Linked DNA regions of Caenorhabditis elegans. The protein of the gene in region 1 purifies or fractionates together with the protein of each later gene. This does not show direct contact. Each region holds a gene or a part of one and is shown in the gene's direction. Other genes may lie near its edges. The genes, in order: saps-1, air-1 and pph-6.

Region 1 (9,757 bases):
CACGCAAGTGTTCCTGGATAGTTCCAGATTGTAGCCATTGGATTCGGAGAACGCCAGGTTTTCCAGAAAGAGAGCACGATCCACGAGAACTCTGAAATAAAAAAAGAATTTGATAGAATATATTCTAGAATGATTACCAGAGACATGAAAATTTGTTATTTTTGCGCAAAAAAAATATGATGCCAGGTCGGTCTCGACACGTATTTTCGGTGCCAAACTTGGTTTTCAGAACTCACTTCCACTGCGCCGTCGCATTATTAAGCGTCTGCACCGCATAAATTGTCTTTTTGTGAAGACTAATCAATTTAGCTTCAGAACACGGTCCGCTTTCATCGAGATGAGCATTATCGATTACTTGACGAGATGGGAACAGGTTATCGATGACGTCATCGCTGAATTTTGAAAGAATTGTTCGGACTTTTCTCCGCTGGCCATTTGAGTCATTTTTCATCGAATTGAATAGCACTCTTACTTTCCTGAAATTATAATAATGCAACAATAATAATAAAGATTTTCAAATTTTGTATTTACTAACTTATAAATATCTTTCACATTTTCCTCTGCTTCACTCTTCTCTGACGCAAGCTTTTCGATGTCGAAATAGGTTTTTCGTAATCGATAGTCTGTAATATATCTTCAATTATTATTTTTTTAAAGAAAATCTCTATACTTACGTCGATTTCCATGGTGCCAGAGACTACGTGGCAGCTCGACGAGCCCGTGTCCAAGCAACACTACAAGCAAGAATAATCCCCATGTGTTCGATGCAGAGACCACGATGACTTTTAGGTTTTCTCTGAAAATGTTCAAATGTTGTTCAAATATAACAAGTTTTTGACACTTACATGTTAATAGAAACACCCTTAAACATTGCATAAATGAGAATCGCTAGAAAGCATAACGAATAAATAGCGTAGTAGAGAGCATTATTGATCACTGCCGCACGGATTTTCCCAAGAATCGTAAAGTTTCCAGCTGTTACGTAGCTTTGAAGAAGAGGAAGTATGAGCCATGTAAGAAGCTGTGCACTCCAATATACAACGCGCCAGAGGTTGAACAGAACATCATCGGGGACGTAACCGCCGGGAAGTTCGCATTCCGGAACAACAGGCGCCGGCGTCGATGTTGTTGTGTTTAGAATTCGCTGTCGATCGTTCTCGCATTTGTGGAAGAATGTCTATAAGAAGGTTTTAGTAAAGAAATGTTGATATTTAGCATTAAAATCTCTTTTTTCCGATTAAAAACTCACAATTGCCACATCAAGAGGGAGAACGAACACAATAATTAGCGAGAAATACCATCCAATAAACGTGGATATCGTCACAATTGGATTTTGCTTTCGGATTGTTGAGTACTGAAAAGAATGATGAAATGCTTAAAGTTTCTTTGAAAAAATAATCTATTTCTGGCTTACCTTATTCAATAAATAGGAAGTTAGAAGGAAAACAATAAATAATTGAACGGCTAGCGAAATAGTTCCCATTTTAAATGTTACATCCAACCGATCACATATTCAGATAAAAATAGCATCGATGCGCAGAAAACACGTATTTCCTTCGAACTTTTCACTCCGGGAGGAGAGCAAGAGATTTAGAGAAAAAGAGGAGTGCGGTGGGGCGCACTTGTATTCCCTGCGGACGCATATTTTTCGGGACATGGAAACATGAGAACAATTTTAATATTTAAATCGATACGTGGTGTCATAATGTCCCATTTCGGGTTGATCTACGAGAATTGCGGGAATTGAGACGCAGACTGCTCAACTGATTTCGCATAGTTACGAACGTGCTGACGTCACATTTTTGGGAAAAAATCCCGCATTTTTTTGTAGATCAAACCCTTATGGGACAACCTGACACCACGTGGCAGCAACGAAAGTTTAAAATTACAGTACTCCTTTTGAATGCGCACACCTTTTCACATCTAGCGATATTTTGTCGTGCCGAGACCGGCGAGGACAAAAATCACTAAATTTTCCGTCAGTGTAACATCGAACTTTTCGAGATCGACTCAAACACTGGATTCGATATTCCTATTCTTCGAGAAGCTCGTGCAAGATCTGAAGTGTCGCCTGATCTCTATCTTTACCATTTTCGATACTTTAATCCTGCCGAATTTGATGCAGAGTTTCCAGTTCGGGCTACGTATCACTGTCATGAATTCCCATACATTTGGGGAGTCTACAAGGACAATTATTTCGAATTTAACGATGATGATAGAACCGTCACCGCATTTTTAATCACTTCCTTGATATAAAAGAGTATTAACATAGAATCCTATAGTAATTTCTAAACTGTCAGAAATTCTTTTCTCTCATATTTACAGTTATCGGGCCAAAGCCAGTTACTGATAAACGTCTGAGAACTCCTTAATTTTTTTTTCTAAATTTTAAAATCATTAACACAATTCGAACTTCAGATCTTTCAATCTGGTTACAACTTCTGGGATTCGATGATTCAGAAATTCCAGTTCGATCTCATTACCGGCCTCACTGTTGAATCTCATATTGAAACTACGACGAGTTCTTCTTCTCTAACATTCACTCCTGCTTTAATAATTATTATAGCCATAATTACAAGTGCATAATTTCACGAACTTTATCATGTGATCTCCATAAAATAAATAAATAAAATATTTTAAAGTTCAGAGAACTGCGCTTATTCAGCTTGGGTAAAAAAAAAGAAACAGAAGAGGAATCAGGAAATTTAAATTTAGTGATTAATTAAAAAAGGGATTTTTGTTTTGGAACCGAAACGAGTTTATTTGTCACCGTCTCCGTTATCCATGCTGACCGATATCCAAGACGCCGAATTCGACATTCACCGGGAGTGCCCTGAAAATGATCAAAATATTGACAAAAAAAAACAAAAGAATATTTAACAACTTACAATCTACGTCGTAAAGCTCCAATGCGATTTGAAATTCGTCTCATATTCGCGACACAGCGGTACTTCCATTGATTAATCTGATTGAAGTGGTGACGGAACTCTTGGCATAGGATTTGAGCTCGTTGTGTATCACCGGCAGCCAAGTTCTCGTTCTCCTCTTCCAAAAATCTTTCCAGATTTTGTACATTTTCGATGAACTGTAGTGCTAGACCTTGAATCTCTGCTCCACTCCTTCTGATTTGCAAGCGAATCCGAGAATTTTGAGCAATGGAATCTGGATTCGCTCCGTTTCTGGTACGGTCGCTCTATATAAGCGTTCCTGGCAGATTATCAGACGTTGACGAAATCTTAATGTTGCTTCCACTTCTACCAAATTTAATTCGGCGGCTGCGAGCATCTGGAAAAAATAGTAATTTATGTAGTTTTAAAAAAACAGTTTGAAATTTCAACGGCTGGCTCGTGCGAAGATAAAAGTTATTTTTCTAGAGAATTCTGAAAATGCGGGAAAATCGTCAATTTCATTCTATTCTGAACGATAAAGTAGATCAAATTTGTAAACTAAACAGTTCTCGAAACTAGGCGCCAAGAATAAAACACGGTAATTTAGATCGAGCCGCTGAATTTTTTTGTGAGTTGATATGGACTTGCAAAATTCAATAATTATTTCCACTAAAACAAATCTTACTGTGCTTCCGGTGCCATGTAGTGACTCCTGTCGTATTGTGAAGCTACCATAGATCGTGGTGGCCCGAACAATGATCTAGTCGGTGTGTGATTCTGTTGCTGAGCCATTTGTCGGTTCAAATTTGATTCAAATTTGCCACGGAGGGTGTAAGCTGTTGAGCAGTCATTCTTTCATTGATATTTCTGGATAAAAGTCCTGGCTTGAAATGACTGGAACGAGTTGATTGAGCAACCGATTGAGCCGCCATCGATTCACTATCATCCCAATCCATCGATTCCACGTGGTTATTAGGCTTAGTCTGATAACTTTGCATATTTTCCTTGTTCTCCCGACTTCTCATTGCAGACCAAGCTGGACCAGCTTTTTCCTTGGAAGAAGTGTCACTGCCATTGAAAGGATCGTTGAAAACGAAGCACATGCACCTCTGACAAAAGCGACATCTTGTAATAAATTCTGAAAAAGTGGTGTAAAACTTGTGTAAATTTTCGAAAATAAATTATTTAAAACGAAATATATCCAGATATATTTTGATATATCCAATTGGATCCAAAAAAGATCTCTAGATCTACCGTATATCTTCTATTAATATGGCCTCCCTATTAGACTTGCACTCCCTATTAGTATTGCCCCTCGGAGACCTTCCGAAAATTAGTATGGCACTCCCTATTAGTCTTGCACGCCCTAATAGTCTTGCGTTTACTCTTTTTTTATTGCAATCCCTTATCGCTGATTTTAGGATTTCAACAGAATTTTTTGCCTATTTTGCAACAGTTTTTTACAACATTTCTACGAGATTGAAGTTTTTGAACTTATATGAAAATCAAATTTTCTGAATTTTTACATAAGATTCGAGCTTTTTCAGAAAAAAAACTAGTAAGCTCAAAGTCAGAAATATGCTCTGAAAATTAGTATTGCACTCCCTAATAGTCTTGCACTCCCTATTAGTATTGCAAACGGGAAGGCCATCGAAAAATAGTATTGCAGCCATATTAATAGAAGAAATACGGTATATCAAGAGATGGAATGAAACAACTGAAAGGGCAACATTGTAAGGCAGATAAAATTAAAAGAATGTGGGCAGAGGGAAAGAGAAGAAATAATAGAAAGAAGTCCAGACGTGACAGAGAGGGGTTAGTTAATTGCATATTCACTGTGGGTTTCTAAATAATTGTTTTTCAGAACTTCTGCTTCAAGCGATGCATATTCTTCGGATTCAGATGCGGAGGATGATATCACACAGGATGATGACGACCCGATGCTCCTTAATCTCGACGACTCACTGGATCACAATGTTGAAGCTCGCCCAGAGCAGGAGCCTGAGCCAGATCTCAACATTGTACATTCACCAAATGAGATGGAACAGCCAAATCAAGAGGATCTCGAGCATGAAGGCATGAAGTTTGAAGAGCAGAGTGGCTCGAGAAGAATTGCTCAGGAGAGTGCTTCTGAAGCTGTGACAGATGGTCGATCGAGTGATGAAGATTCACAGTGAGCATCTGAATAAAATACCTTGAGCATCTGAATAAAATACTTTGAGCCTGAGGTTTTGACATTTAGCCAGAGGTTTTTTGTGCTTTCTTCTAATATTTTGACTATTAATAAATGGTTTTCGAAAATCTACACCAGCACTACAGTAATCAATTAAAGAATTACTGTAGTTTTCGCTACGAGATATTTCGCTCGTCAAATATGTGAGTGTACTATAGGTGGAGTGTGAAGGCCACTTCGAAATTTTCGTATTTTTTATTTATGAAAGCATGTTTTATCATCATATAATTCGGAGAAATAACGTTTTATTTAAATTTTCATAGACTAGACTTGTCTAAAAAATGTGTCTGCATTCTGGCGTGAAATCACGCGCACCCGCGCACAAAATTACGCAATAATGCACACTCTGCGTTTTGCGCGCTATTTTTTCATTCTCGTTTATAAAAACATTTTCCGTGGCGCTGGTATCATCGTTTTCTCTGATTTTCTTGTAACTTTCTTGCGAGTTTTATCGCTGTTACTGACGAATATCGTTTTTTATTTTGTTTTTCTCCTAGCACCGCCCGGCGTTCTTTGTGTTATCATCGTAGCCGTAAATCGATGCCCGCTAAAAAGCTATCTAAAATGTTTACCAGCATTTTCCAGATGTTCTGGGCGAAAGAAGAAGAGGAAAACTCGCTGATGCGATTGCTGAAGACCGACAACTTCACGTTGGAAGATGTCCTGCTCAACGAGTTCGTTGTGCAGGAATCTCGATATGGAAAAGCTGAATTGGTTCAATAGTAAGTCTCCAGTTAGCATTTATTTTCATAAAAAGTATATTTTCAGCATCACAAGCAGGGAAAACATGAAGGCGTTATTAGAGCTCAGTCTGAACCCCAAAATCAACACCGATCTGCCGATGAAACAACAATACAGGCTTTCTTTCATAGCCTCGGAAATTCTCACGATTCGAGGAACTGATGTGTTTCAAAAACAGATTGTCACAGTGAGTCAGGGTTGAATCGCATATTTTATAATTAATTAATTAATTTTTTTCAGACGGAAGAAACAAGGAAATGCCTGGTCGATTTTTTGAACGACAAAACTCCATTGAACCATCTCGTTGCCGGATTCTTCGCAAAAATCATGGAATGCCTTTTGTCAAGGCATTTCGACTTGGTTCGTTGAATACGAACACTCCAAAGACCCTCTGTATAAAGTTTCAGACGTTCAGTCTTCTCCAAGAAACCAAGTTTTTCGACAAATGCCTCCGAAACATCAATCTCGGAGCAATCGAGTGTCTTCTCGAGAATCTGGTGCGAATTCCAACCACAAGTGAGGGAACGAGAATTGTGAAGGAGGTATCAGAAAAATTGTATTTAAAACCATTCTTGCCGCAACTCTCTATTTACAGTGGATGATATCTGAAAATTTATTCGAGAAGATTGTCGATCGGATGCGGGAATCAGAGACAGACGATGAAAAGGAGTGTCTTGCTGAGGTTTATTGCGAAATTCTGCGAGAGTTGAGGGATAAGCTGTACATTATGGAGAGCAAGGTCGATGAGTTGCACGCAAAATCAATGGATGAGACGTTGATTGCTAAAATTGCAGATAATCTGATTGTTGAGGTAGTATTTACTGGCATAATTCCAAAAGTCACATCTATTTTTCTATTTTTTTTAGGAAGGTTGTCCCGCCGAGGAGCTCGTCAAAAAGTCCGCCCTTATTAGTGCATCAGCTAAAATCTTGGAGGCTTTCATCAAGACAAACTTTGTTTCAAATGCACCTGCCCAGCAGCTTGAGGAAATAGAACGAAATTTGATTGAGGAACGACACTATTCCTATGGATTAATGCGGCCGTGCATGGACAACGATCCGTACGAGCATTCCTATCAACCGGATCCCGAAAGAATCGTCGAGGGGATTCTCGCGAATCGGCTGCCCAACATTCTTCAGACAGTCCTGCGAGATATCGAAGCGAATGGTTCAGTTTGGCAACCACTTCTGCGATTGATTATCGAATTGTGCAATACCAATTGTATGTCAACGCATGAGAAGATTGCAGTCGCTTTCAGAAGTCTTCCCTTCATTAATGTATGCATAATTTATTTTATTTCTTATTTCTTTATCAAAAATTTGAATTTTAAATTTTAAATTTTCAGTTAATCAAAGCTGCAAAGATGCTGCCTCGTGCCAGTGTTCTCCACTGCCTCCTCGTAAAAGTTGTCATCCTACTTCTACACTCCAGCTTCCCATGTGATGAGCTGTCTCCAGCTGCAGAATATTTGCTCACAGAAGGAGGACTAATTCAGAACATATACGATACAGCGACCTCTCCAAATCCTGGATCCTCGGTAGCTTGCAGTGGTCTCCGATCGTTCAATCAAAACCTTGGAGATGCTATCAACCGTGCGAAGAAGGCAGGAATTCCCAATCAGAAGTTGCTTGCTATTTTGAGTGTAAATAATTTATTTATTTATTTATTATCGTTCTTTATATATATTTTTTATAATTTTTCCAGGCAGACAACACATGGACAGAACTCGAAGATATCATTCATCTTTACAACTTGAAACATCGCCCTCAGATGCAACACGATTTTAATGATTCCAGTGTGGTCTCATCGATTCGAAACGACAGTCACGGTTTCAACGATAGTGAAGAGTGGACTGATGCTTCTACGAAATTCGCCGAAATGGATGCAACATCATCTGCTAAGCAAGCGTTTTCTGGTTTTAGGTTAGTTATTAAATTATTGCCAATTTTACGTCTAATCTATTTTTTAGCTCGCCATTCGAACCAAATATGCAGCGATTTTCCGACTTTGAAGGTCAATTTGACGACACGCCGGACGAGGATGAGTTCAGAAAGTTGTGCTCAGAGCGAGCCAACTCCTCGTCGTGCGCTGGAATAAGTTTCGAGACGAGCCCAATCAAATGGCCTGGAGAGGCAGAAAAGACATCAGAGAAGGCGTCGGAACCACCGAGTGTCGTTGCCAGTACGTATCCACAACAGACAAACGGGAATCAGGCTTTTCTAGAACAGGAAGAAGGAGACGGGGAGTGGGTGTGGCCAACTGTGCCACCACTCGGGGAAACCGAAGTTGTCACTCAGACTGGACATCGTCCGGAAAATAACTGGGTTGACGAGACGGCACCTGACTTTTCACATTTAGGTAATAAAGCTGGACATGATAGGTGGGATTGCAGCCACCATCAAGTCTGTAGATTGTTGCACGTCGGTTTCCCTTTCCGATTTCCTGGAGTAAGCCATCCCACCTATGTTGAACCAATTTTATTACTCAATTTAAAATCAATGTTTTCAGACATGGCACCCCCAAAGGAAGACGATATGTGGGCCGATTTCTCCTCGTTCCCAACCATCAGTCCGACTGCAGCTGCAAACTCGGCGTCGTCCAGTAGCTCCGATGCGTGGCCTGGATCAGACATTCATCTTCAAGGGGAAGCGTCGGATTGGCCGTTGAACAACTCGCACGAATCGAAAGCATCCGACCCGGTAATGGTTGGACTTGCTGCGAGTATATCCCATCCTGGAGACAGCAGCGAGGCTTGAAGCCCTTGCAACTCGTGTCATCCCCAATTCGTTTCACATCCCAATTATTTTCTACATTTTTCTGTTTATAGTCTTGTATGCAATTCACTTCGAACTTCCCCCTCATTTTCAACCAGAATTCCAAAATTTTTCTGTGTGTGTGTGTTTCTTGCAAATTTCACTTATTAATTTATCAATCTCGATTTTGCGGTTCTTTCCCATTCTCCATTCGTTGTTCATGTTTCCCCATATTCCCACCGACTTTAAAACCGTTGCATCCGATGCACTTAGAATTTTGTTTCCGAATTTTCCGTGGCTTCTCATCTTTGCTGGTTTCTTCTAAAGAACATTATCTTATCATTTAAAAAAAGTGAGCGCCCCCAGTGATAAGAAGCACGGCTTATTTGTTACTTCTTCTAATACATAATATATGATTCTCGGGCAACTTTTAATTTGGTCCAATCTTTTCCCCCTCTACTCTTTTTCTTGTTTAGGTGGTTATTGAAATTCAATTATTCTGATTTCACCTTCATTGATTGTTTATCTCGTGTTAGTGAGTATCAGATTTTCCATTCCATCCTATTTCACAATTCGTTGCATTCAATAATAACTTCCCACTATTTCTTGTATTTCTTCCTCTTTCATGAGTTTATAAATTCTTTTTAAAAAATTATAGCTTGATTGAAAATTTGGATGTTTTATGATCATTGTTCTAATATCTTAGTTTTGTTTCAAAGATCTTCAGAAAAAAACATAATTTATTTTCAGAAAAGATGTCTTCAAAACGAAAAGTTCTTCTGATGGGCAAAAGTGGATCCGGCAAGACTTCGATGCGTTCGATCATATTTGCCAACTACATCGCCAGGGATTGTTCGCGTCTCGGGCCAACAATCGAAGTTGAGCATGCTCATGTCAAGTAAGGGATCAATTCTGGATCAATTATCAAAAGAACACAATTTTTCCTTTTCCAGGTTCCTCGGAAACATGGTTCTTCACTTGTGGGATTGTGGTGGTCAGGAATCATTCATGGAGAACTTCCTCGTCTCGCAAAAGGATCAGATCTTCAAGAATGTTCAAGTGCTCATATACGTATTCGACGTGGAAAGCCGAGAGTTCGAGAAAGATCTCAGATATTACCAGTCTTGTCTCGAAGCTCTTCT
Region 2 (8,328 bases), on another chromosome or scaffold:
TCTGAATAAGTGGTTCCAAGACATATTCGTAGATCCTTTCTGGTTCAAGAAGAAGATTCAAATCTCCTGTTTTTACAGCAATTGAAATAAGCCCGTGATAAAGTGAAAGGCATTGCCGAACTTCTGGGACTGGAAGGAGATCATAGTGTGGTGATGTCATCTTTCTCATAAGTCCGTCCACGTGATGATTTATACCGGCAATACATACTTGACGAACTGTTTTGACGAGATCTGCGAGCATTATTGTAAAATAACTATCTTTTCGAATCAAAGTCTCGAACTTGTTTGCATAGAAAATTAAAATATTTCCCATTTTGAAAATTGTGATGGCATTTTTTTCTGTCGACAGCAGTTGCTCTACCCTAATCTGTAAACTATTATCATATATTATAGTCCAATAATTTAAACTTTTTACCTTGAACGGCGAAGTCAAAGATTTCAGGCATTCATCAAGAACGATCGGAAGATTTTCTGCGGAACAAATTGAGCTGAACAACTGTTTTTCTTGCTCCGTGAGCTCGTGAATCGAAGTCAGCATATCTCCAACTGCCTTCAGTGGTTCTGCCAACCCTTCAGGCATTTGGACAGCCATTTTGTTAATTTCAACAAACTGATTGAGCAATTCTTGTGAGCGAGATGAAATGTATTGGTCTGAAAACTAGGTTAATGGTGAGTAGATTTGAAGAACTAAACGTACCAATGGCAAGCTGGAATACAGCATCATTCTGACTTATGATTTTGAAAGCTTTAGAAAGAATTTGCTTTTTCTGATGAGAATCAACTGTCAGATTTTGAAATTCGCGTTTCAGATTGTTACAGATAATTGCATGGCTTCTTTCGTCAATTTTTTGCATTTTTTCCATCACTTCAAAAGCGGCAAGATGTCCTTGCTCCTGAACCATATTTCTGCAGTTCTCGCGAATTTCGTGGCACCTCTCAAGAACTTTGAAGAAAAATTCCGATAGATGACCACTTTGTTCACATTCGTCTAATTCTCGAAGCTCTTCACTTGATAAAGAATAGTTTTCGAGAAATTCATTTATCATATTACAACGGCTTTCTATACTCGCTTTCTTCTCCTTCAAGCTTGCTGTTTTCTGCACCAAATCAACACTTTTGAACTTTACAGTCTCCATTTGCTTTGATAAATTCGTGCATGTGGAGTTCATTTTTACACAGAGCTCATCGAATTTTTGCACAATGTTATTTATCTGAAATAGCAGATTTAAAATGAAATGATTTCAGGTTTATTCTAACTTTTTCGAACTCGCTCAAATATTCCTTGTTTAGTCTCAACTCGTATCGTTCTAGTTTATTGTGTAGTTTCCTATCAACATTTGAATCAAGGTTCATATCTTCGACCAGTGGAGTGATGAAATCAGCAATTTTGATGCAATCCTGTAAGAAATGCCATAAGTTTCGTTTGTAATTAATATTTTAGCTGACCTTGTCATTATACAGCTTCTTTGCACATGCAGTAGTCACTTTTTCTCGTAAAGGATTGACTGCTGATGAAGTTTTATCGATTACTGACATTTTATTGATTCAAATTCACCGAATTCTGCGAAAAAAATCGCAGAACTCAGTGGAATAGAAAATGCAGAATTGATTTATTCGCAACGTGTCAGCAACGACACTCCGAAATAACAGAGCGCGTGTTGTTTAGCAATGCCGCTCAACAACCCGCCAAGCAAAATTCATTCAAAGTGACTGCCTTTGTTCTAATTTTTGACGTGTTCTTGAATTAGTCGCGATTTTCTTTTTCCTTTCTCATTAAATTTTTTATTCCTCAATTTTATTATAATATTTCAACTCGCAGAATTACATTAATCATGAGCGGAAAGGAAAATACTGCTCCTGTGATAGACGATCAGAAGGCCGAGGTAATTGTTATTAAAATTAGAAAGGCATCAATTCTAATCTTCAGGTTATTTCACTTACGGAAGATAGCAGACCTCAGAGAGTTGACCAGGCAAGGGAAGAATCATGGTGAGAATAATTGATTTATTACTTTTACAATGTAATGGACTTTAGCTGGAGTCTTGATGATTTTGACGTTGGACGGCCTCTCGGAAAAGGAAAGTTTGGAAACGTTTTCATCTCTCGTGAAAAAAAGACCAAGCGAATCATAGCTTTGAAAGTACTCTTCAAAACACAGTTGCTTCAACTTGGAGTCAGTCATCAGTTGAAGAGAGAGATCGAAATTCAATATCATTTGCGGTATGTTTTCTCGAAGTCATCTCATCCAAATCAATTAATCAATATTATTTCAGTCATCCGAATATTCTCACTCTTTATGGATACTTTCACGATGACAAGCGTGTGTTCGTCATTCTCGACTATGCCAGCAGAGGAGAATTATTTAATGTCCTCCAATCACAACCTGGACACAAAGTGAATGAGGTCATTGCCGGAAGGTGTGATTTTGTAGATATTTCAGAAATATAGTAAATTTCCTCAGATTTGTGCGACAGCTGGCCAATGCGTTGCATTACTGCCATTCGAAAGGAGTTATTCACAGAGACATTAAGCCTGAAAATCTTCTTCTTGATTCGAAGCTCAATCTGAAGGTACGCGTATAAATATGGTTAACTAAGTACTCAAAAAGTCTTCTGCAATGTTCTCAGTGCATCCTTTGGTTCTCCGAGCCGAAAGAAGTCACTAGCTGAAAAAGAGTTTATACTCTGATCACACAGTAACATTGCAATAAAAGCTTAGCTCGAGATGCGTGTGCCGTTCTGCTTTTAATGCGATCTGGTTCCTTTTCTCCTCGGGACAATTACCGTAAAAATTAAATTCAACACATTTTATGCATTCTTTCTAAAAAATAAGACTTGTATTTCAGCTTGCCGATTTCGGATGGTCCGTCGTTGCTGATCACTCGAAACGCCATACATTGTGCGGTACCATGGATTATCTTGCTCCGGAAATGGTTTCCAATCAGCCACATGACTTTAATGTTGACATTTGGGCAATTGGAATTCTTCTCTTCGAAATGCTTGTTGGATATGCTCCGTTCGCCAATCAAACTGGTGATAAATTGATCGCCAGAATCAAGGAGTGCAAGATTTATGTTAGTAATTATGAACTAAATTTGTTAGAATCTTAATAAGCAGTTCTCCAACAGAAATATGTGCATGAAGTGATGGTTTGGGTAACCATTTCATCTTTTCATGTCATATATCTCCTGCCTCTCACGGTTTCATCTGTGAGAAGCTTCAAAGAACTGCAATAGAAGTCTAGCTCGAGATGCGTGTGCCGGTTTGCTTTTAATGCAATATGGTTCCTTTTCTCCTCGGGACAGTTCTCAAACATTCATTTCCATTTTGTTTCCCAAGTAGTTTCATCTAAATTGCTTCTTTTTTGCAGATTCCAAGTGTTGTGACTGACGGAGCTGCCAGTTTGATAAATGCAATAATCAAAAAGGAACCCCAAGAACGTCTCCCACTTGTTGACATCATGGCTCATCCGTGGATTAAGGAAATGAAGCAACGCGAAGACATTGAAGTTCCACTCTTCATTTCGACGCTCACGAAATCCAGTCGCAATAATTCTACAGCCAATCAATAAAAGCTCTGTCTATTGTCCATTAAAGTCTCAACCTTTTCTACTTGTCTTTCCAAACAATTATCATCTGCACTTTCCCTTCTTTAGAACCGTATATCATACGGCTACTAACTTCTTATTTTCGCTAATCCATTTAAGCAATTTATCCGTTTTCATCCTTTTGTTTCTTCTCACACTGACAACGAGAAGGATTTAAATTTATCTAAATCAATTATTCTTTATTTGTGTGTGTGTAAAATCATTAGATTCCCGTGAAAGTACTGTATCGTGTGTTCCCGTCTGCCCCATTAATTTTTTCCCAAATTTCGCATCCAAGTGTCTCGATTATCACATAAACGATGGTGCACCTCTTTGTTCATTGGTTCTCAGAAGAAATACAATGCTTTCTGCTAAAAGCCAAAACTCAAACAGTGGTGGCGGTAAGTAGAAGGCTGCCGCCTTTTTTGGCACTGTTTTGTTCCGCCAAAAAAGTAGCATGGTATGCAAACATTATAACGAGTTAACACTACATTGGTAGGAGTGGGAACGTTTTTTGGAACAGCTAAAGTTTGAAACATAAAGCGGAGGTTTAACAACGTTAAGTGGTATCTGGCAGAGAGCCTTAAATATCGTACATTCGCAAAAACTTTATCCTAGCTAGGTGCTATGTGCTACATGAAAAATTCTAGTTTTTTCTGTACATTTCAGAATTTCAAAATTCGTATAGTACATTTTCCATATCAAATGAAAAAATCTGTAAATTTTGGAACCTCACTATGACTGAGTTCGTGCCGAGACCCACTCAGGAAAACATCGTGTGCCTTTTAACTGATATCTCAGCATTTCGTGAAAATACAATATAAACATTTCTTTCTAATGTTTAATAATAACTGTAATCCTTGAAATGAACTGATCAATTAGATACTAGAATAATGCACAAAAATGTTTAATATTTGCGCGAATAACTGGTCGTTACCATCTGGTTGTTACATATCCGGTGATTACTAACCATTTATTTGATGGAGATTTGGATATATGTAGTCAATTTAGGTGAGTACAAACAAGATGACCCGTAGATATGCACTAGAGGTGTTTGTCAAGTGGTTGATTGGATATGACGATATTACGTTGCTCAATTTTTTGAATTTTTATATTTATCTGTTTTCATAAACAATTTAGCAGCTAGAAAAAAACAGTGACATTTCTCAGGTGTCCGTGTGTTCCATGCCTTCGAAATCGAAGAAAATCACGCAGTCGTTGGTGGAAAAGCAATGCCGTCACATGTGGACTGAGATGTACTAAAAAACCTAAGAATAAATACCGTATCAACACCTGGATTTGACAAGTTTATGTCAAAACAGTTTATTCTTCAGAAATTAACACCACAGGAGTCTATAGGCTTCGAAAAGATTTGTGACGTCAGATATTTAAACCACGAGCTTCCACGACTTCAGATGTTAAAACACACCCGTGTAACTTCATCCTTAAATGGAATCATGGGTAAAACATTGTCAAGTTCAACTGCCTACAGTAACCAACAATCATATTCCCACCGGCTGGTTCCTATTTGGCAAAGTCCCATCGTTTCCCCCTAATAATCTCAACAAATACCTATGCAGCTACTGTTTGCCCCCCCCCCCTTGCCTTATAATAGGCGGAGCCTTGAGAGCTTTGAGATTAAAGAAGCTCTGCACGGACCAGTTACTTTACGGACCACGTACCGCATTGGTACAGTCACACTCGCTCGAGCATGAACTGCGACACCGCTCAACCGTGGATGATGTCTTCTTATCATCCATCAACAACATCTGATGTCTTCTGGACAACAACACCATCGTCTACTTCAACGACTCCAAGCTCTGATAATGGAATTCAACAATATTCGTCGATATCTACGTCATCGGGTTACGGTAAGTACAATTGTCTGTAATTCGGCTTTTCATTTAAGAATTACATGGGTTTTACATGGATTTTTTTAGTAACTTATTCCACTGGCAGTGAAAACCTTTATAGATTCTTAATAATTAGTTACTATATCTTTAAAGAAATTGTCTGAAATCCTTACAGTATGAGATGAAAGTTAAGACAATTCTTTCTAGCAATGAAATCAAGCTAATAGAAACTATCAGTATTATTTTTAACGCAACTTTTTATCAGCCCCTGCCAACTCTCCTGCCAAAACTGCCGAAGTTAATCAACTTGGTGGAGTTTTCGTAAATGGAAGACCACTTCCATTTGAGATGCGTTGTAAAATAGTTGAGCTCTCGAGACAAGGAACACGACCGTGTGACATCTCTCGTCAACTAAAAATCAGTCATGGATGCGTTTCGAAAATATTGACTCGGTTCTCAGAAAATGGAACAATAATGCCTGGAACAATTGGAGGATCTAGACCGAGAGTTACTACGCCTAAAGTGAGTTTGAATCCGGCGTAGATTTTTCCAAAATTTTTTTTATTTTTTTCAGGTTGTTGAATATATTCGAAGTTTGAAGCGCTCTGATCCAGGAATTTTTGCATGGGAGATTCGAGATCGACTTATTTCTGCCGACATTTGCGATAGAGCTAACCTTCCATCAGTCAGTAGTATAAGCAGAATTCTTAGGAATAAAAACGGAGGAAATAGTTCAAGCTCATCAAGCTCTCAACTTCGATACATCAGAGATCAGCTCGCCGAGCAGCAGCAGCAACAACATCTACAACAACATCAGTATATGGAATATAACAATAATGAATTAAATCAAATTTCTGGAAATCTTGATTATCAAGTTTCATCTTCAAATACACCGCCATCTTATGATTCATATCACTTTATTGCAAATTGAATTGATAATTGCGGAAATATTTTTTTTGGCAATCGTATGATTATGTAAAGTTGTACAAAATAAATTAATTGATTGATTATTCATTAATGAGCGAATGTTCATGTAACATTTCGTCAATCATCAGCAGTCCAGACATCAGCTTCCTTTGGCTCAGAAGTTGATGGCCCTTCATTGCTCTTTGGCGACTCGGCCTCAGCAGACTCCGGAGTTCTCTGGAAATATATTTAAAAATTTCAATCGCTCATTTACAACACTGAAGTGTTAAAATTTTAATTAAAAACGTACCAGAATAGTACAATGTAATACCCTATCTGACTCCACTAATTACAAAACATGGTTTTTGGAAAATTTCTAAAGTTTCCAACAAAAAAAACCAAAATTCTCACCGCCTTCTGTCCTTCTGGGACCTGAAGTCTCTCCATCTGCTCACGCTGCATTTTCTCGAGCTTCTGAGTAGTGATGGTCTTCAATGGGATAAGCTTTGGCTTACAGAAGATCGGAGTCAACGTTTCGTCCTAAAATTCATAAGTACCAACAGCAATTAAAATATATCAAAACAATAATTTTCAAAAATTGAACATAAAAAAAACCGTACCTGGAACAAGTAGCACTCGTCGACAAATAACTTCTCTTCCAACTTCTCGCCTTGAGACATTACAACTCTAAGAAAAAATAATATAAATTATAATAATAATATAAAATAATATAATCGATTTTGTGCTCTCACTAAACCTTTCTTGTTTCTCGTTCTTCTCCGTTGCCGGGGCAACCTCTCCCTCGTCAACACCACCATTTAGAAAAGTGACCAGATCCATTTCGAATAGGTGTGTCGTGAGCTTTTTCCAAAAGCACTAATTAGCGAATTGAGAGATGCTGGAGAAATGGTAAATAGGCACGTTGATGTTATTCGAAAAATTTTGAAAATATTATTCAGAAAACATGTGATATCATCTCCAGGGAGAATGAAAATGTGGCTATACGACTGTGGTGATCATATTGAAAACAATTTTAAAAAACTTATGTTACAAAATGTTGAAAATGATTTCCATGATATGAAAACGATACTAGACGAAATTGGTAAGTGTAGGCAGATATAATGTTTGATACTAGGAACACGTGTCAACCGTATTCTCGGATATTCATGGATTACGAATATTTTTTCACAGAAATTGCGATTAAAAATGATTTTGATGCCAAAATTTAAAAAAATGGGATTGCCAGGCTTTCAAGTGGTCAGAATACACTGGCAAAATGCCCGAGATTTTAGAAAAACTGTCACAGATCTGTAAAAACTGAAATCCACAAATTTGATCGTTGGAAGATGATACGAAAAATTGTGATTATGATTTTTGGCAACATACAAGAATGAGGTAACTCTAAATAAAAAAATAAAAAAAGAGTATGCCCTACTGAAATGAGATCCTACCAAGATTGAATACCTTTAGTCTAAGAGTCTAAACTTGAGAACTTCACCATAACTACGGTTTTGGAGCTCTAGATCTAGAGATAGTAAAGTTTTAGAAAATTATCATCTGGCAAACTGGTAAAAACATTCTGATAGTTTGATTTTGATTCTAAGAATGTAATTTCGAACCCTAATGCAGTCAACCACGTGTTCAAATTTCATTCGCTTGTAATACAGTGTGGAGTAATCAACAAGACGGGCTCGTTGTTCAAAACTAAAATTTAAATTCCATTATTTCTCACTCTCGTTTAATAATGGCTTCTTGAATTAGGATGAGATATTTTGAATTCAAAGGCTGAATTTCAAATCTTAAATATGAAACTAGAAATATTTAGCGAACTACGATTTTCGAGATCCCATGTGGATAGACTAGTGAAATTTGAACAGTTGACAGAATTCTGAACACGATGTAATAATCAATTTTTTGGTTGAAAGCATTTAGGTTCGAACACACATTCTTAATGCTGATATGCTGAATAATTTGAATCCAAAAT
Region 3 (11,562 bases), on another chromosome or scaffold:
TTGCCGGTAAATTCTATCCCGGCAATTTGCCAATTTGCCGGAAATTTTAAACTCCGGCAATTTGCTGATTTGCCTGAAATTTTCAATTCCGGCAATTCGCCGATAATTCAAAATCATGAAAAAACTAAATTTTCCATAATTTTTTTTCAATTTTTCTCTAAATTTCAGAAAAACACGCCATCAACATCGAATTCAATCACTCTAAATCCATCTTCTCGTGGTGATCAAACCCAATTTATTGTACATCTACAACGAACAATTGAACGATTGGAAAAAGAAAAAGCTGCGTTAACGGAGAAATTGACAATGCGAGAGGATGAGATTAAAGTGTTTTCAGTGGAATTTGTGAATATTCAAAAAGAAAATGTTAAACTAATGAAGGAGAACAAAGCTAAAGAATCACAAATTTCAAACCAATCGATTCAAGTTCGAAATTCGTGGAAATTCGCAGATTTATTCAAGAAAGAGCTGCAGAAAAGTCGGAAAGACGTGTCGGAAGTGAAATGGAAAATTGATAAAATCGAAAAAAAAGTCGGCATCAAAAAGCCTACACCAAGGAAGAAGCCTGATGTAAAGCTGATAAATCCAGAGGATATTTCATTGATGTCTGACAGAACCCAGGATGGGGAAGATTCAAGTGACTTCGGAAGTCCTCTAGCGAAATATCTGAAGCCTGATCAGCCCAGCACAAGTTCTGCGTGCTATGGGAAGCCGTTCTATTTTGAAAGCACCAGCAGCAGCTCCAGAAAGCCCATCACAGCATCTCCAGGCCCTCCAGGCCGAACACAAATTTCGGATCAGCTGAACACTGGAGAAGTTAGATATGTGGTGAATTCAGGAAAACCATTCAATTTTAGCTCGGAAAGTAACTCCAGGAACTTGAAGCTTATTCCAGGATATATTAAGAGACCAGAATTTCGCTATATCAAGCCAGAAGGCTTCACCTCAGCCTCTTACAAAGCTCAGTCAGAAGGAATGAGCTCGTTTTTGAAGACTGGAAGCTCTGCAACTCCTGAAAATTCGAAGAAATCAGCCCATTTTGACATGCCGGATATTTCCTCAACGCCTTACAAATCTCACGTGGTGGTGGAATCGGACGAAATGAATAGTTCTTCGAGTACAATTGGAGGATTTGAGTCAGAAAAGAAAGATAATGGAGCTCTCGGAAGCCAGAAATCTCCTGTTAGTTATAACGAAAAAAATTGCTAAAAAATTTACTTAAAATTCCGCGAAATTTTGCCAATCTGTCAGTATCGATTTTTTCAATTTTTCAGGAAAAAAAAGTCAAATTTTAAGGTTTTTTCAATAAAAAACTTTTGAAAATGAAAAAATCCGCCAAGACGATTTGTTCGATGGGGCGCGCTTGCATTATTTTTTGTTTTTGTTTTTTTGTCCTAATTATTTCACTGAATTCCTTCATGTTTTGTGTATTTTTACTGAAAATTTGAAAAGCTAATGAACAATTTGCATTTATCTTGACTTTTCATTCAAATTTTCAGTGAAAATTCACAAAAAATGAAGAAGTTCAGAGAATTGATGAGAAAAAAAAAACAAAAATTAAAATAATGCAAGCGCGCTCTATTGAACAAAGTCTCTTGGCGGTAATTTGAATATGAAACTGGCAAAAATGGAAAATTATTGCAGATGCCCGACATTGCCACAGCACTTCACAATATATTTGATTCAAAAGAAGTTCAAAGTAGTTCTTCAACCACCGGAAGCTCTGCACCGCCCGAAAATTCGAAGAAATCAGATCATTTTGACATGCCGGATATCTCCTCAACTCTTTACAGATCTCGTGTTGAGCCAATCAGCAGCTCTTCCAGTGGATCTACCAGCACAAGTGCTCCGAGATATGTGCCAAAACCAATAGCCCAGCCAGCTCGATATGCAATTCCAAGTCCGGGTGCTTTGAATGCCTTAAGAGTGAGTGACAGCCGGAATCGCTCAGTTTACTGGAGCGCACTTGCAATAATACATACTTTTTTTTCAGCGTCCCCCAGAATGGAAAGGTCAGCGCCGACATGCGCCGAGTTACGTGAAATCCAGAGAAAGCGTCACGTTCAGAGGATGCTCCAGATTTCCAGTCACATCACCGCATTTCGCGAAAGCTCACCTGGAACCTGTGACTGATGGAAAAGATGATTCGAAAATTGTCAAATATCGATTTGTACCGAAGCGACCAGATTTTGATGGAGAACGCGAACATAAGAAGTGACAAATCTTGGTTTTTTTGTGTTTAAGGCTTTTAGAGCATTGATAATAAATTTTTTGTTGGATTTGCTGTGTTTTTTTGCGGAAATACACAGATTTTTGCAGAAAAAGTTAAGAAAAAACTGCTACAGTTTGCCCTTTTCCACTTTAAATTGCCGCTTAAAAACTCCTCGAAAAGAGTGTGCAAAGCATGGAGACGCAGACACGCACGAAAATCACGCCAGCACGTTACTGGCGCACTTGAGTCATGTGCTGGCGCATTTCTTGTCATGATGAAATTTATTAATTTTTTCTTCGTTTTTTACCAATTTCCGCCGATTTTTCGTTTTTTATTCCTAATTTCTTCAAATTTTGGCAATTTCAGACAATATGCTGCGCAAAGGAGTGTCTTTCGTCGGCCAGGCTGTTCAACAAACGCTGTAAGTTCCTTGAATTTTGAATAACGGTGAAAATCAAATTTTTTCATTGCAGGAAAACTCAGAAAAACTTGCGCATTCAAAGATTCAGCGCCACGGCATCACAATCATCGGAAGAAGTCAATTATGAGATTAGAAAAGACGGAAAGAGACTCAGAGGTAGCGATTTTTACTCTAAAACAAATTCTAAATTCTAAAAACTGATATAATATTTAAAAAAAAACCAGGAGCCGACTATGAAGAAATTGTTCTTACTTCGATTGCCGGCGAGGACAAGACACAGATTCCAAAGGGTGCTTTTGATGTTCTTCTCAAGGAATACGACGATTTGCAGGCCGAAAGCTTGGATTTTAAGGATAAATATCAAAGATCGCTTGCTGAAACTGAAAATGTTCGTCGGCGAGGTATCAAGCAAACCGACGATGCTAAGGTTTTTGCAATCCAATCATTCTGCAAAGATTTACTTGAGGTTCGATTTTTAAAATCAAAATCAACCGAAAAACAATTAAAATAATTCCAAATTTGCAGGTCTCCGATATTCTCGACATTGCCGTCAAGTCTGTGAAGCCAGAAGATCTGGAATCGGGAGGAAAAGCTCTGAAAGATCTTTTCGAAGGAGTTTCAATGACCCGTACTGTCATGGCAAAGACATTCGCAAAGCATGGCCTTGTGACCGTGGATCCAACCAATGAAAAGTTCGACCCCAATCTCCACGAAGCCGTTTTCCAGATTCCATCTGCTAATGTTAGTGCTAACCGCCCGAATTTTCCGAAATAAAAGAGCCAAATCTTGTATTTTTTGAACAATTTGGGCTTATTTAATCCTTTTTAAATGCCACAAAATGCTTAATTTCCTCCATTTTCAGGCCAAACAACCTGTCGGACATATCGAAGTGTGTACAAAGATCGGCTACAGCCTGAAAGAACGTCCAATTCGGCCTGCTCAAGTTGGAGTCGTCTCTAAATAATTTTCTTTTAATTTTCCTCTGGTTTTTTAATGTTTTTCCGGTTTTTTGTAGTTTTTTTTTGAATAGCTAGTAATTTTTATTGTTTTTCTGTTTTTTCCGTTATTTCATCACACTCCAATCACTTTTTCCCGCCGTTTTATAGGATTCGAATGAACAATTTTTGAGTTTCAATTCCCTTTTTTCCACTTTTTCGATAGGTTTTCAGCCATTTTTCATATATTTTTTAATTTTAAACAGGAAAAAAGCTTCTTTTTCATTTAAAACCGTAAAATTTTCAGAATGATCGACACAAACCTTCTTCGGGTGACAGTGTGCGATGAAGGAGAGCTCGAAAAGAGCACAACGCATTTTATTGGGTACCAAATTTTGGATATTTCAAGCGAAAAATGCGATTTTCCAAGCACAAATCGCTTTGTGTCGATTTACGCAGCTCGTGTACTCCTCGAGGAGAAGATTTTTATAGTTTTTGGAGAAAATGCTCAATTTTTGACCAATTTAACATTAAAATTGTCATTTTAATTATTTTAAATGAAAATCGACTACAAATCATCGTTTCCAGCAGTTTTCCATATTAAAAATGCTGAATTTCAGCATAAAAATTACCAAAAAAGCGAAAAATCGGCGATTTGAACGTTAAACTTTTAAAAAACAGCGAAAATGTAAAATCTAGCATTTTAGTCGAAAACTAGTATTTTTCTCCTCGGGGAGTACACGAGCTGCGTAAATCTACATTAGGCGATTTGAGCTTGGAAATTGATTTTTTTTACTCAAAATTGAAAAATTCTGCGAAAAATTTCGAATTTTTTTGCAAATTTCTAAAAAAAAACTTAAATTTCAGCTCCAAAATTATACAAAACTTAATTTTTTTCATTTCCAGATCTCGAAAAATAGAGCCGGAGCAATGGATTACGTGGGCGAGCGAATGCAAATACTTGCCCGAATCTGACGCTGTTGCTCTTTGTGCAACGTAAGAAAAAAGCAATTTTCAGCAATTTTCGGCTCAAAAACTGAACATTTTTTCAGATTAATCGATCGTCTATCACTGGAAGCCAATGTGGTGCCCGTTTCGTCGCCTGTCACAATTTGTGGAGATATTCATGGACAATTTTATGATTTACTCGAATTATTCAAAACTGGTACGGAATCGGATTCGAATTGGAAATGTCACAAAATTGGATGAAAAATTCAAAAAATCAGCCGAAAAATCGAGAAACTTTCCGGGAAAATCGGAAAATTAGCCAAAAAAAAATCGAGAAATTGGATAAAAAAATTCGTAAATTGAATGAAAAATTCAAAAGTTGAATGAAAAATTCGAAAATTTGCCGGAAAATCGAAAAAATCGATAATGTGTCGATTTACGCAGCTCGTGTACTCCTCGAGGAGGAGAATTTCACTGTTTTCGGGCCATTTTTCGCTTTTTTAACATTAAAATTGCCTTTTTCAGATGGAAAAGTATTTTACTACTGCTAAAAACGAAGAATTTTCATATTTTCAACAATAGAAACCTAGATTTTCGCCTAGAAATGGCGATTTAAGTGTTTTTTACAACAAGATCGCGAAAAAATAATTAAAAATCAAGCATTTTAGCCGGAAAATTGTGATACACTTCTCCTCGTGGAGAACACAGCTGCGTAAATCGACACAGGGCCGTGGAAGAGGCCATACGGTTTTTTTTCTGTTTTCAAACATGAAAAAAACTCGAAAAATTCATTTTTACAGCTAATTTTCGATTTTTCGACGGAAGAAGAAGTTTTGGCGACGTTTTATGTGAAAAATTCAAATATTTTGGCAATTTTGAGTGTTTTTTGTGGAAAAAGGGTGCAAAATTTGAAAATTTATAATTTTTTCAAGTTTTTCTGAAAAAAAAACAATCGTTTAAATTTATTAATTTGAAAAATCGTCGAAAATCAATAATTTCAGCAAAAAAACTCTAAAATTCTTCTCCTCGGGGAGTACACGGGCTGCGTAAATCGACACGAAACGATTTTTCATCTAAATTTAGAATATTTCACCGAAAAATCGGTATAAATCTAGAAAAAATCACTTTTTTTCATGCGAAAATCCTTTAAAAAACAGTTTTTATACGATTTTCTTGAAAAAAAAGTCAAAAAATCGATATTTTTAATCCAGAAAGCTTAAAATTTCGAAAAAAAAACTTTTTTTCGTAAATTTTTTAAATAAAAAATGGCGAAAATATATTCAGCAAAAAAAACTCTAAAATTCTTCTCCTCGGGGAGTACACGGGCTGCGTAAATCGACATAACGATTTTTCATTTAAATTTTGATTTTTTCGACTGAAAAATCGTTAAAAATCTTGAAAACCCCACTTTTCAGGCGAAAATCCTTAAAGAAACAGTTTTTATACGAATTTCTGAAAAAAAAAAGTTTGAAAAAATCGTTTTTTTTTTATCCAAAAAGCTTGAAATTTCGATTAAAAAAACCTTTTTTCGTGAATTTTTTCAGTAAGAAATGACAAAAATATATTCGGCAAAAAGCTCTGAAATTCTTCTCCTCGGGGAGTACAAAGCGATTTTTCATCTAAATTTTGATTTTTTGAATGACAAAAAAAAATCGTGACGTGACCCATTTTTTCTCATTACAGGCGGCACAGTTCCCAACACAAAATACGTATTCATGGGAGATTATGTGGATCGAGGACATTACAGTCTGGAAACTGTTACACTGCTTTTTTGTCTTCTTCTCAAGTATTTTTTGATTCTTTTTCCTACCAAAATTTCTGTAAAAAACTCCAAAATTTGCAGATATCCGAATCAAATCACACTGCTCCGCGGAAATCATGAATCTCGTCGAATTTCCAATGTTTATGGATTCTACGATGAATGTCAGAATAAATATGGACACGGAAATGTGCACAAATGGTTCTGTAAAGTAAGGAAGCGATGGAAATTGAATGGAAATTGGAAATTCGTCGTGCAGAAAAAGCGATAAAAATCGTTAAAAATTCAACGTTTTGGCGAAATTATACGCGAAAATTCATGAAAAAATGATTTTTGTGCGATTTTCTGATAATTTTAAAAATTTAACTGAAAAATTGGCTGAAAAATTCAAAATTCGTTTCAAAATGGCTCCAAAAGTAAAGCTAAAAATAAGTCGAATTTTTATAAAATTAAAAATTTCATATAAACTTTCCGGAAAATTGTTTTTCTGTAATTTTCTTTTTTAAAAAACTTCAAAAAAACATGAAATCCATCAAAATTAGTTTTTGTGCAATTTTTGGACTCAAAAATGCTCGATTTTTTTCTGGTTTTTTTAAAGAAAACCTTCAATCTGCAGAATGGAAAATTTCCAAAAAATATTATTAAAAATGCTCCGTGAGCTCCCAAAGTTCTTCTCGAAAATCGCTTCAAATTATTTTTTTAAACGAGAGGTGATTTTGTAGAATAAAAATGACGAAAATAACTTTTTACTGTCAATTTTTGCGGAAAAAATCCGAGTTTTTACGGGATAATTGGCTCTTAAAGTGCTCAAGCACTAGATTACGTGTCGAAAAATACAATTTTTAGCCGATAATTGTATCGAAAAGGTATTTTTTCACCATTTTCATCAAATTTTCAGTTTAAAAAACTAAAAATTAATTTTTTTTCAGGTATTCGACGTTCTTCCAATTGGAGCTTTAATTGATGAATCAGTACTGTGTGTACATGGAGGACTTTCACCTGATATTCGAACAATTGATAGTCTTATGTTACTTGATAGAGCTCAAGAAGTTCCTAATAAGGTTGGAAATTTTAATTTATCGTGAAAAATTAATCGAAAAATAAATAATTTACCGGAATTAATCGAAAACTAAATGTTTTTATTTGGAAAACATTGAAAATTTAGAGATAAAAAATATAAATTTATTCAAAAGTTTCATTTTTCTTGGAAGAAAATCCGAAAATTGAGAAAAAATATACGAGAAACTATAAATTTATCAAAAATATGCAGATTAAAATGAGAAAATCGAGAATTCGGGAATTTTTGGAGAATTTTACTCTAAAATACGAAAAAAAAAATTGTTTTTTTAATACGAAAGTCTTGTTTTAAAAAATTGAATAAAAAACCGAGAAAATTTGAAAAACCGAAATTATCAAATAATGATTTTGATGAGAAAAATCTTAAAATATATTCAAAAAGATGAACAATTTCGATTTTGAAAAATCCAAAAAAAGATTATTAAAATTCTTTGGATTTTCTCATAAAAAATTAAAAAATTAACTTTTCGATTGCAAAAAAAATTTTTTTTTTCCGAAAAATGAAAAATTCTCGTTTTTTTTTCTTCAAAAAATTGCGAAAAAAATACGAAAAATTAGAAAATTTACTCAAAATATATGAAAATGACTGGAAATTTTCAAAAATTATTTTTTTTTACTAAAAAAAAATGGAGAAACTCAAATTTTCAATTAAATAAATTATTTCCAAATTTGCAGGGTCCTCTATGTGACATAATGTGGTCGGATCCGGATGATGACGTCGAAGATTGGGTGATTAGTCAAAGAGGAGCTGGATTTGTAAGAAAACTGACTGATCTGCCGAATTTGGGCAAAAAAAACAAAAAAATTTGGATTTTTTCTTTTTCCAACTGAAACTTGATAGTTTTTTTTGTTTTTTGGTCCGAAAAAACCTTTATTTTTTTTGCCAAAAATACGACAGCCCTGTCAATTTTGGAATTTCCACTTTAAAATTAATTTTTTTTGCAGGTGTTCGGAGCAAAAGTGACAGAAGAATTCCTAATGAATAATGATCTTTCACTACTTTGCCGGTCCCATCAACTCGTTGACGAAGGATTTAAGTATATGTTTAATGAGAAACTCGCTACCGTTTGGTCGGGTAAGAATTTCTTTTATTTTGCTGAAAAATTAGAAAAAAAATTCCAAAAAAAAGATTATGGGTCGATTTTTGAAAAAAAAAACGGAAATTTTCCGATAATTTCCCGTTTTCGAACTTTTTTTGAAAAATTCTAATTTATCAAAATTCATTCAAAAAACTCAAAAAAAAAATCGAAAAACAAAATTTTCTCGGTTTTAAGAATTTCTCCTTTTTTCCGAAAAAAAGTTTTAATGTTTTTTCATTAAAAACTGAAAAAAAACTGAAAAACTTAAAAACTTGGAAACTGAAATTTTTTTAATCGCACAAGCTGGAAATTTTCTTGAAAACTGAAAAATACCTCAAATAAACTGAAAAAAGAGAAGAAAAAACTATTTTTCAACTGAAAAAAACTGAAATTGCTAAAAAAATTATTAAAAAACTAAAAGAAACTGATTTTAAAAAAACTGTAAAAAAAAGGATTAAAGGAAACGATAAAAATTTAAAAACAGAAAAAAGAAAATAAAACACTTTTAACTGAAAAAACTGAAATTGCTTTAAAAGTTATTACAAAAAGAAATTTCAAATAAATGGATAAATTGCAGCTCCAAACTACTGCTATCGATGCGGAAACGCGGCGGCCGTATTCGAAATCGACGGAAACAATCGCTCGACGAAATATTTCAACGCAGTTCCCGATGGAAGCCGTGAGAAGCCGGATCGTGTCGTTGCTCCGTATTTCCTCTAAATATTACCTCACACCTGCCTGCCTATTTCTATTTCCGCCACAGCTACATAATTTAATTATTCTTTAAAATTTATGGTGGAATAGTGTAAATCGCTTTTTAAAAAACCCAAAAAAAAACCTGCCAAAATAATTGAAATTCCAAAAAAATCCCACAAAAAACAATAAAATTCAAGCTAATTTCCCGTAAAATTTGACATTTTCCCCTGATTGGTCAAAAAAGGGCGGAGCAAATCGCTGATTGGTCCTGCAATCAGAGGCTTGTTAATTCTTTTTTTCGACCAATTAGCGATTAGCTTCGCCCATTTTTCGACCAATGACCGGGGAAATTTGTCAAAAGTTGAGCAAAAAACATGAATTTTTCATTATTTCTGAATTTTTTCCGGGTTTTTATCGTTTTTTTGTCAATTTTCATCATTTTTTGCTATTTCAAAGCAAATTCACGCTATTCCATCTTGAATTTTAATGTTTTTTGTCTGGAGTGGACCCCCTATAAAAGCCTCGGTTCCTCGTGTACTTGATCTTCATTTTCCCCCATTTTGTGTGTATTCTCTCTCTGATTTTTCACTTTATTCTCATGTTTTTCCTTCTTTCAGCTCCTGTTCACTTTTTTCCGTCGTGTTCCCCCTTTCTCTTTCTCTCATTCCTTAATTTAATTTTAATGTGTGAACAATTATCTCTCTCGAATAATCTCGAATCTTCATTCATATTCCCAGAGAGACGGAAATGTACAAGAAATTGGTAGGGACTAGTAGTAGGCGATTTTCACAGAAAATTTGACAAAAAAAAAGAGAGACGAAAATTGTGATACCCAAAGCACAGGGGAGAGAAAATTAAAAGCATATGAATGAATAGAAGAGGAGGACCCAGAGGATTCCAGTTGCAAAAATAAAACTGGATTTTTTCAATTTATACACAGGAATGGTTGGTGGCAGAGGAGAGTGTTACAGAAGACGGACGGTAGAGGATTTCAGATTTACATTGCAGATGGCGGTGGAGGTGGTGGCGTGTTGTCCTGGAAATTGGAATTTTAAAATTTTATAGGACGCGTACTCCCCGAGGAGAAGTTTAGAACATTTTAAAATTTGAAATAGTTTAATTTTATATTTAAAAATCTGAAAATCGATAAATTTTGTTTTTTTTTTTTCGATTTTTTCAACAAAAAAAAACTATCGTATGAACCAAAATTGAAAGTTTTCTAGTTTTTTTTTGTTGATATTGCGTAAACACAAAGTTCTGACGCTCAAAATATCTCGTAGCGAAAACTACAGTAATCCTTTTAACGACTACTGTAGTTTTCGCTATGAGATATTTTGCGCGTGAAATATGGTGTGCAATACGTATTCTCTGAATTTTGCGTTCACGTAATACTAAAAAAATAAACAAAAATTCCAGGGAATATTTTTAAATTGTTTTTTTTTCAATTTAGCAATAAAGTCCAAAATAAGGAACTGGGTATTCCATATCCCCTAAAAAATTTTTAATTTTTTTTTTCAAAAATTCAAGTTAGACTGTAGGACAAACACCTATAAAACCCGGTGATGATTTCTTTTTTCGCGTCTCTGATAACTGATTGACCGGTCAATGTATTGCCGGGCGGGCACAAAAAAAAAAGATTAGAGACGCAGAAACGCGCTCCACTGCCAATTGAAAACGCTCCGCCCCCAAACAGTTGGGTCTCGTTAGGAATTTGGCGGAAAAACTGGGAATTTCGCTGATTTTTATGCCGAAATTATTGTTTTTTTTTCGATTTGGGATAGAGAATACATTAAAAACAACGAAAACTGCTTGAAAATTTGAAAATCCGGTTTTCCCGCCAAATTCCTAACGAGACCCAACTGTTGGGGAGCGGAGCTTTTACGTTTAGCCGTGGAGCGTGTTTTCACATCGATTTCACAGGTGATTTTTTCTGCGTCTCTCTAATACAATAAAATTAAGATACTTGTGCAAAAAGTACCGTAGTACTTTAAAGGCGCACACCCGAAATTTTAATTTTTCGTGGCGAGACCCAAAATTGGCCGTGGAGCGGGTTTTCTGCGCTCTTGTGATAAATCCGAACTTGACAATACTAACATCAGAACTTCCAGTTGGTTTTTCAATTGCTGCATCATCGGCGGTTCTTCTATCAGATCTCATTGAATTGGGTCTCATCACGTAAAGTGCCATTGCCATAAATGTCCATAAAAGTGTCCACATCATCATTGTATTGCCACCTTCACGACTCAAACCATCATTGTCGCAACCCGTATCTGTGCAGTCCGCTTGCGAGTTTCGGAGCTGCAAAATTTTGATTTTTTTCAAAAACATTTTTTTTTTTTGGAGTTTTATGACGATTTGCAATGGGTATTCAGATACGATATGTTGTGATTTTGTGCGTCGGGGTCTCGACACGACAATTTTTTATTTTTTTGTTA

The links.
Region 2: the proteins of saps-1 (region 1) and air-1 purify together in Caenorhabditis elegans (affinity purification with western blotting; one study listed by BioGRID). This does not show direct contact.
Region 3: the proteins of saps-1 (region 1) and pph-6 purify together in Caenorhabditis elegans (affinity purification with western blotting; one study listed by BioGRID). This does not show direct contact.

Annotation. Positions count from the first base shown.
Region 1 is NC_003280.10:11,291,994-11,301,750, forward strand, and holds saps-1 (Serine/threonine-protein phosphatase 6 regulatory subunit), read left to right. Parts: upstream 1-5,706; coding exon 5,707-5,843; intron 5,844-5,889; coding exon 5,890-6,049; intron 6,050-6,102; coding exon 6,103-6,222; intron 6,223-6,263; coding exon 6,264-6,404; intron 6,405-6,457; coding exon 6,458-6,673; intron 6,674-6,728; coding exon 6,729-7,139; intron 7,140-7,207; coding exon 7,208-7,504; intron 7,505-7,566; coding exon 7,567-7,784; intron 7,785-7,831; coding exon 7,832-8,220; intron 8,221-8,370; coding exon 8,371-8,618; 3' UTR 8,619-9,257; downstream 9,258-9,757. Other genes in the region: C47G2.4 (G-protein coupled receptor-associated protein LMBRD2), read right to left, coding at 1-91, 237-476, 536-623, 675-796, 846-1,177, 1,250-1,354, 1,415-1,483; raga-1 (GTP-binding protein), read left to right, coding at 9,371-9,513, 9,569-9,757.
Region 2 is NC_003283.11:8,219,669-8,227,996, forward strand, and holds air-1 (Aurora kinase), read left to right. Parts: upstream 1-1,819; 5' UTR 1,820-1,832; coding exon 1,833-1,883; intron 1,884-1,927; coding exon 1,928-1,989; intron 1,990-2,034; coding exon 2,035-2,220; intron 2,221-2,273; coding exon 2,274-2,417; intron 2,418-2,461; coding exon 2,462-2,570; intron 2,571-2,612; exon of another isoform or gene 2,613-2,781; intron 2,782-2,845; coding exon 2,846-3,073; intron 3,074-3,110; exon of another isoform or gene 3,111-3,305; intron 3,306-3,369; coding exon 3,370-3,570; 3' UTR 3,571-3,914; downstream 3,915-8,328. Other genes in the region: cogc-6 (Conserved oligomeric Golgi complex subunit 6), read right to left, coding at 1-367, 416-651, 698-1,211, 1,258-1,398, 1,447-1,536; pax-1 (Paired box protein 1 homolog), read left to right, coding at 5,297-5,456, 5,704-5,960, 6,013-6,369; K07C11.10 (BBSome-interacting protein 1), read right to left, coding at 6,483-6,581, 6,756-6,884, 6,965-7,031, 7,102-7,184.
Region 3 is NC_003281.10:3,457,828-3,469,389, forward strand, and holds pph-6 (Serine/threonine-protein phosphatase 6 catalytic subunit), read left to right. Parts: upstream 1-3,875; 5' UTR 3,876-3,876; coding exon 3,877-3,953; intron 3,954-4,474; coding exon 4,475-4,564; intron 4,565-4,620; coding exon 4,621-4,733; intron 4,734-6,199; coding exon 6,200-6,302; intron 6,303-6,359; coding exon 6,360-6,486; intron 6,487-7,204; coding exon 7,205-7,336; intron 7,337-8,027; coding exon 8,028-8,108; intron 8,109-8,297; coding exon 8,298-8,427; intron 8,428-9,008; coding exon 9,009-9,151; 3' UTR 9,152-9,826; downstream 9,827-11,562. Other genes in the region: C34C12.2 (Fibronectin type-III domain-containing protein), read left to right, coding at 169-1,182, 1,645-1,926, 1,994-2,218; C34C12.8 (GrpE protein homolog, mitochondrial), read left to right, coding at 2,584-2,633, 2,686-2,789, 2,858-3,099, 3,159-3,374, 3,496-3,597; smim-14 (Small integral membrane protein 14), read right to left, coding at 10,125-10,163, 11,222-11,425. UniProt on the Caenorhabditis elegans protein: Catalytic subunit of protein phosphatase 6 (PP6). In complex with saps-1, promotes actomyosin contractility during cytokinesis by regulating the organization of cortical non-muscle myosin II nmy-2 and thus contributing to correct spindle positioning.